Linked DNA regions of Stegostoma tigrinum. The protein of the gene in region 1 interacts with the protein of each later gene in a pairwise test. Links are inferred from orthologs where the notes say so. Each region holds a gene or a part of one and is shown on either strand. Other genes may lie near its edges. The genes, in order: trip10a and arhgap12b.

Region 1 (3,916 bases):
CATGTGAAGAGTAACTCATCTCCTGACTCCTCAGAGCTGATGAGACACAAGTCAGGAGTGTGACGGGATACTCCCGACTTCCCAGGATGGCTGCAGCTCCAACAACACTCAAGAAGCTCGACACCATCCAGGACAAAGCAGACTGCCTAAATGGCACCACACCTCCAGAGCGTGCTCCCTCCGCCAACGATACTCAGTAGCAACAGGGTGTACTATCGACAAGATGCACTGCAGAAAGTCACCAAGGCTCCTTCGACAGCAGCGTCTAAAGCATAATCTCCACCCCCTCAAAGCATAATGGCAGTAGATAAATGGGAACACCACCAAGTTCCCCTCCAAATCTCTCACAATCCTGATTTGGAACTAATTTGCTGCCACATCGTTCACTGTTCCTGAGTCAAAGCCCTGAGACATCACCAGCAAACAGTGCTAAACCACCATGGATCGCAACCATTCAAACAGGCAGTTTGCCAACACCCTCTCCGGGACTATTAGGGATGGCCTGGTCTTGCCAGCAATGCTCTCATCCCGTGAAAGGGTCAAAGGAAGTTGGGCCAAATGGCCTGTATCATGCCCTAAATACAATGTACTACCTACTGAAACTGTAGCCCACCTGACAATGCCTTCAGATAGAGGAGCAAGACAACACACAGACACATTAATAAACACCCCACGCCCGCCCACCCCCTTAAAGTCTGCTATACAGATATTTGACCAAAAACAATGACGACAAAAAAGTACAAATCCCAGTGAAACCTCTGCAACGGATTTGGTCCTGCGATTTCTCAAGTGGGGGGGGTGGGGGGGAAGCAGCCTGTGAGTAAATGGATAGCCATTTTAAACGAGCTTGCGCAGGCAGGACGGGCTGAAAGGGCTCTCTTTGTGCTATGATTACAGGGAGAAACAATTGCACGTATCTCCGGTTCAGCGGATACACCCAAATACAAAGCTCTCAGAACACCCCCCACCCTGAGCTCACCCAGCAACAGCCTTGATTAATGTTCTGTTAAAACTGGGTTGGTCAAGGTGAGCCTCAGTAAAGATACATCTCTCAATTGCTATTCTCAGCTCCTGCACTGCGGATTACAGCAAGGAGGGTACAAAAAAAAGGGAACGCACATACACAAACAGGTTTTTTTTTATCGGTTTCTCCCCGCAAAGCTCTGCAGGAGAGAAACTGGGCTCGGAGAAAATTGTAAGGACCAACACTTCCCCCCTCCCCACCAGACAGAAACGTCGAAATCCAGCAGTTGTAACTATTCAATGTCCCATTCATCCGTGAGGACTGGGAAGCGCCTGTGTAACGCGGGGGGGGGGGGGGGGGGGGGTGGGGGGGCTTTAAACACAAATCGTTTCTTTTTGTTTGGAAGAAATTGCAAAATACGTGTGTGTGTGTTTCTCACATTAGTTAACAGCAAACAAAACGGACACTGAGACATTGATAATGGGACATAGCATTTAAACAAAAACAAACTGGCCTGGGGAGGGAGGGAGGGTGGCCAGAGGACTGAGGGGGCATTTCCTGCTCTTCACCAACCCCCGCCCCCAACAAACATGCACTTGGGAGAAGTTTGGAAACTCGATCGCTCCCAACTTAAAAAGAGCCAAATCCTGAAACAACACAGAGAACAGAGAGAGCTAACCCTTTCTATCCTGGCAAGGAAAGACTAAAATACATTTTTCCCTTCGCTGCAACAGAAGCACCAGCACACACGAGATAGCAGCGAAGAAAAACTTTTCTTACAACTTTTAAAGAAGATAATTGGGAAAATTGCTAAAAGAAAAGGACTTTCTCAGCTCGTTTCTCAATGGAAGTGAATCGGAAACGCTCGCTTTTTTTCATTCTTCCCAAATACAACACGACTAGCGTCTTTTTTAATAAAAAAAATCCCCGCCATCAGCATCTCCAGGATCTCTCAGGTTATATCTTTTAAAAAGTAACACTCACCCAAAGCTCCGAACCCCACTCCATGATTTTTAACTTCGCCTTTAATTCAGGCTGGGAAGAAACAAACGAGAGAATTGATCAGCAGACTCTATGTTAATTTCTTTCTCCTCTCACTTGGTCCCGTCTCTTGTTCTATTTGGAATTTGATTGCAGAAACTCCTCTCTATATGAATGAGGTGCCTGGCATCCTTCAAAGTGTAAACATTTCTCCAGCCCCTGGTTAATTCTGAGCCACGACTTTCCCTGCGCTGCGCAATCCCGCGTCACCACTCCGCCTCTGTAAAAGCTCAACGGCGCCTCACTGCAGTTTTGCAGAACATAGCAAGCGCTCAGTCTGCAGCAAGGTGTGTATGACTGGTTTTGTTAAAGGGAACACCCCCACTACAATGCATACTGCTCTTTTACAAAACATAGCAAGCACCCTAGATAATAGTGTGAAGCTGGGTGAACACAGCAGGCCCAGCAGCATCTCAGGAGCACGAAAGCTGACGTTTCGGGCCTAGACCCTTCATCAGAGGGTCTAGGTCATCAGAGGATGAAGGGTCTAGGCCCGAAACGTCAGCTTTTGTGCTCCTGAGATGCTGCTGGGCCTGCTGTGTTCATCCAGCTTCACACTTTATTATCTTGGATTCTCCAGCATCTGCAGTCCCCATTATCTCTGATAGCAAGCACCCTGTCTGCACTCACTCTGCAGCAAGGCGTACATAGCTGGTGCTGTTAAAGGGAACACCATCACATTGAGAAACAACAAATCACAGCCAAACAGCATTCAGGAGAGGCGGCAAGCTAACGTTTCGAGACAAAAAGAACTGCAGATGCTGGAATCCAAAGTAGGTGAACTGGAGGCTGGAAGAAGACAGCAGGCCAGGCAGCATCTGGAGGAAAGGAGCAGTCAACGTTTTGGGTATTCTGAAGAAGGGTAATTACCAGAAAAACTAATGTTTCGAGTCTAGATGACATTTCATCAGAGCATCTTAAGCTCTAATGAAGAGTCATCCATACTCATCACGTTAGCTTGCTACTTGACCTGTTGAGATCTCCAGCATTTGTTGTTTTCAGTAGAGATTCCAGCTTCTGCAGTAATTTGCTCCCTTACTACACTATACTGCTGCAGTTTAGAAAACACAGCAAGCACCCTCACCGCACATAGCCTACAGCTAGGTGTGCAGGCTAGCACTGTTAAAGGGGCAAAGTATAGTATTCTTGGTCAAAAACAGGAATCGCTGGAGAAACTCAGCAGGCCTGGCAGCTCCTGTAGAGAGAGAAAACAGAGTTAATGGTTTTGAGTCCAGTATGTCAAACCAGAGACACTGAGATCTGTTCACAGATACTGCCAGACCTGCTGAGTTTCTCCAGCAATTTCTAATTTCATTTCAGATCTTCACCGTTCATGCTCCTTTGTTTTATTATAGTACTTTTGGTCTCTGGCAGCATCTGTGGAGAGAGAAACAGAGTCAATATTCTGAGCTTGGTGTGAATCTTCTCCAAAAGAGTCAAATCAGAGACAGTGATGCTGCCAAACCCACTGAGTTTCTCCATCACTCTTTGTATTTATTTCAGATTTCGAGCAACTGCAGTATTTTACTTCTTGATCTCATTGAGTTAATGTTTACATGGTCTGGTGCGGTAAGGAAAATTCAGCTTCACTTCAGAAATATTAAGAGGAGACAATGGCCTAATGGTATTATTGCTAGAGTGGTAATCCAAAGAGCCAGATAACATCCTACTGACCCAGGTTTGAATCCTGCCACAGCAGCTGGTGGAATTTGAATTCAATAGAATCTCTAGAATTAAGAATCTAATAATGACCATGAACTTGTTGTTGGGGAAAAACCCTGTCTGGTTCACTAATGCCCTTCAGGGAAAGAAACTGCTATTCTTAACATTTTCTGAGGAAGGATCACCAGACCCGAACCATGAACTTGTTTTTTTCTTTCACAGATGCTGCCAGACCTGCTGAGCCACTTC
Region 2 (3,916 bases), on another chromosome or scaffold:
TTTCAAGGTGAGAAGGAGATATGGGAAATTCTTTACACAGAGGGTGGTGAGTGCCCAGAATGCGTTGCCAGCAGAGGTGGTAGAGACAGGCACGAGAGCATCATTTACAATGTGCCTAGACAGATACATGAATGGGCAGGGAGCAGAGGGATACAGATCCTTGGAACATAGGCGACAGGTTTAGATAGAGGATATGGATCAGCGCAGGCTTGGAGGACTGAAGGGCCTGTTCCTGTGCTGTATTGTTCTTTGATCCTGCTTCTTACTAAGGTCCAAATACGGCTGGTTTAGAAGAAAACTCACTCACTAGTTCCAATTAGACATTGATCCTGAGACCATACAGCTATTTCTATTTTTTTCACTCGTGGGGCACAGGTGTTGCTGGTTGGCCAGCATTTATTTCCATTCCCTAGCTACCCTTGAGAAGGTAACGGTGAGCCGCTGCAGTCCACGTTCCGTCTGCTGATCCACAGTGCTCTTACGACGGGAATTCTAGGGGGAAAAGAAAACATTTGCCCATCCAGCCTTTCTGCTATTCAATACCATCATGGCTAATCAGGCTATGCTCTTAACTTACCCACCTGCTTCCATAACACTCGACTCCCTCGTACGTGGTTACAACTCGCTGGAGCAACACCAAGAAAATCGAGCCCCGTCACTCATGAAGTCTTCACAAAAGTTTTGATAAGCGTCTTTCGATTCGCGGTGATCGTCTCCATTGCTTCACAGACATGCACACTCAAAGCCAACATGTGCTGGACGGTGTATTTTTCTGAGGGGCGGGGGTAAAGGAGGCGGGAGTGACTCGCTATCCTTCACCATGATAAACTTTACCTTGCAAGCCAGCGGCTGCCGCTTCCTTCCTCCCGCTCACCCCACGGAACCAACACTGCTTCTGACAGCCGAAAATGGTCGTTGCTCGGCAACCACCTCAGCCATACGCACGCGCAGACTATCCTGAGAGCTTGCAGAAGGAGAATGGAAGGCTTGAGGAGAAGAGGCGATGTGAGGGGCGGGGCGGGTGAAGGACCGGCGCTGTTCGGGACGAAGGAGTGCGTACGTGCGCGCGGGTGGTTGGAGATGATCGGTGGGTCGTGCACGCGCGCTGGTTGGAAACGAGGCGCAGTCTGGTTTGTTCGACGGCCGGGGGGGTGGGGGGATTAGTACCATGACATACAGTAACAAAAAAAATCAGATCTGTAAGAGAGACTTCAGTTTACAGACATTAAATAAGGTCTCCAGAAAATTAAACGTTCTCCTTTCGCCTGTTTCTTTCCCCGGCTGTTGCGGTCATCGTCCGAAGCAGGTGCGTGATTTTTTTTATTATGTATTTGTCAAAGTTTGGAGCGTGAAGTGCATTCGTAGTGAAAAGTTTCTCTGCCTCGCTGTGCTGTCTGTCCACTAATGATATGGTCGCTAATACGAATTGATCGCCTTCCGTTTCGCTGTGGAGTGAGCAGTGTGTGGGTGGTGGAGGCCGGGACCGGGGCCTCGGTTAAAGCGAAGGAGGAAGCAGTAACCACAAGGAAACCTCAGATTTACCCAGTGGCCGCCCTAAACCTTCATAGATCTGACACAATAAATCACAGGGAAATCACCTGCACCGTGACAGACTCAGTGCCCTGACCCCTCAAAGACACCAACTCCATCCAACCACCTCACAGTTCACCCATCGCCTCTTGTCCGCTTCCACCCCCTCAATTCAGCCTCTAACTCTCATAAAACTGCTAATGCCTCCCAGTCCCTAACCTCCACACAACCCCATTATCCTCTCACCCACTCATACTCATCCCAACCGTGACACACAACCTCCAAATCGCCCCCCTTGATGCAGTCTTATTGGCCCCACACAACAGTCTCCCCCCTCAATCCACACAGCCGCATACTCCACAACTCCTATCTTTGTCCATTTCCCCGCACCATGCTCAAATGCATCCCTCCTCTACCCTCCCAAACATACTTGTTTTGTATTGACCGATATGGTTTGAAGGCTGGAGAAAGGAGTAGATTTTCTCTGTATACGGAATGATCATTTTCCTCTTTGCGTTGTTGTTTCATCTATGGAGCCACAGGGGTTTTTCTTTGCTCATTTGCATTATCTACGGTTAAATTTGTATTTGTGAAAGAAGTTATTGCTCTCCTGAAAATTGTAATTGCTAATTTCATGCAGGGCCAATAATTTACATTTTGGTTTACAAAAACCTTGCCTTATTAAAACAGCTGGAAATTTTTACTGATCAGGAATGAATTGCTTGTCAAGTTATTACATGACCCAGGGACACTGGTACACAATTTTTTTTTTACATTGCAAGTTTGTTATTTTATTTTCCCCCAAGATGCCTCCCTATGTAGTCAGCTTGATAGGGAGCTCCTCCTCACTGTGGACTTAAATTCTTGGCCAATCTCTGCCACACTTGGCCCACTGTAAGTTCCCCTGACTGTAATAGTAGACAATTAGCTCTAATGTCAAGGTAATTGCTTGTTTCAATTGCTATTCCCACATCCCCAGCCACAGGTTCACACTGGATTCCCTCCAGAAGCATGGAATTGTTATAGCACAGAAAGAGGCCATTTGGTCCAGCATGCATGCACTTTCCCTTCAAATGAGTGTCATAACTAGCCAATGTCCTACTTTTCCCCATTATTTTATCTTCGAGTGCTGCGTATTCCTTCAAATTCCTGAAAATTCTTGATTAACACTGCACTTCAACACTGAACAGCACAGGTTTATGTCGCAAGATGCAAATACTGTACTTGTGATTTGTTGCTCTGTTGCTTATGTTTCACAGTAATTATGATCAGTGTCAGTCTCCCCCTAATGCTGCTTTGGAGGGTCTCAGTCTCTTCTGTGTTTTGTTTTTGTTCTGGTTTGTCAGCATTATGTAAAGTCTGGTTACTACCCAGCAATGTACCACCTTGGACTGGCAGATACGTTGTTACTCCCAGGTCATGTGATGGCCTCTAACTTTGCCATCATCTTTACACTTCAACTGATCTATAGACCTCCTGGATCCTCACTCCAGCAGGAATTCCTGAGCTTTCTGTGATGCTGCTTCATTCTTTTGCACACTATTCCAAATTTGAAGAAGGGTTCATCAGTACTCTCTACTGATTCGATCAACTTGTGTCAGCTGTACCCCACTACAAGAATTATGGCTTTGACTTATGACTGCTATTATTACCTCAGCATTCCCTGTTTGTTCAAAAACAAAGTTGCTGGAAAAGCTCAGCAGGTCTGGCAGCATCTGTGTGGGAGAAAACAGAGTTAAAGTTTCGGGTCCGGTGACCCTTCCTCGGAACTGGACCCTAAATGTTAACTCTGTTTTCTCCTTCACAGATGCTGCCAGGTCTGCTGAGCTTTTCCAGCAACTTTGTTTTTGTTCCTGATTTTTCAGCAGTTCCTTTCATTTTTATTCCCTATTTGTTGCTGTTACATACGAGCTAACTAACAATACATAACCTGCTGACATGACAGAAGCTTTCCCAATATTCATTTGCATGTGTTCTTTACTTGATTGCTCAGTTGTGCACCCAGTGCTTCTTTCTACTTTGTTGTTTCCTTTTGTCTTTAAATTTTTTTTCTCTTTGCCAAACCTATACACTGTTCGTCTGTTATTAGACCTCCTTTCATTTCTGCTCTTTCAGGTACTCTGCCTTTCCCAGACCATACCTCAACCCTTCAGATGTCCCTATTCTTCTGCTGGCATCCCAGACTTGACTCCATCTGAGGTTAGCCAGCAATTTTTCTGTGTGCCTAACCTCCCATTTTTAAAAGGCTGCATCAATGCTATCATAGCCTCATAAGCAATGAACTCAGACTCGTCAACCTCAGTGCAGTCTTGCTAACTCCTTCACTCACCCAACATACTGGTTGGGAGTTGGTCTCACCGATTTCCTTTTTGTCCAACTTGCCTTG

Evidence for each region.
Region 2: the proteins of trip10a (region 1) and arhgap12b interact in binary tests that used the Homo sapiens proteins (3 or more experiments, as listed by UniProt). The two-hybrid records come from large-scale screens. The link is inferred for Stegostoma tigrinum from reciprocal best matches to the Homo sapiens genes TRIP10 and ARHGAP12.

The regions. Positions count from the first base shown.
Region 1 is NC_081388.1:18,478,007-18,481,922, forward strand, and holds the start of trip10a (cdc42-interacting protein 4 homolog), read right to left. Parts: upstream 2,213-3,916; 5' UTR 1,973-2,212; coding exon 1,949-1,972; intron 1-1,948. UniProt on the Homo sapiens protein: Required for translocation of GLUT4 to the plasma membrane in response to insulin signaling. Required to coordinate membrane tubulation with reorganization of the actin cytoskeleton during endocytosis.
Region 2 is NC_081355.1:127,967,980-127,971,895, reverse strand, and holds the start of arhgap12b (rho GTPase-activating protein 12b), read left to right. Parts: upstream 1-1,097; 5' UTR 1,098-1,306; intron 1,307-3,916. UniProt on the Homo sapiens protein: GTPase activator for the Rho-type GTPases by converting them to an inactive GDP-bound state.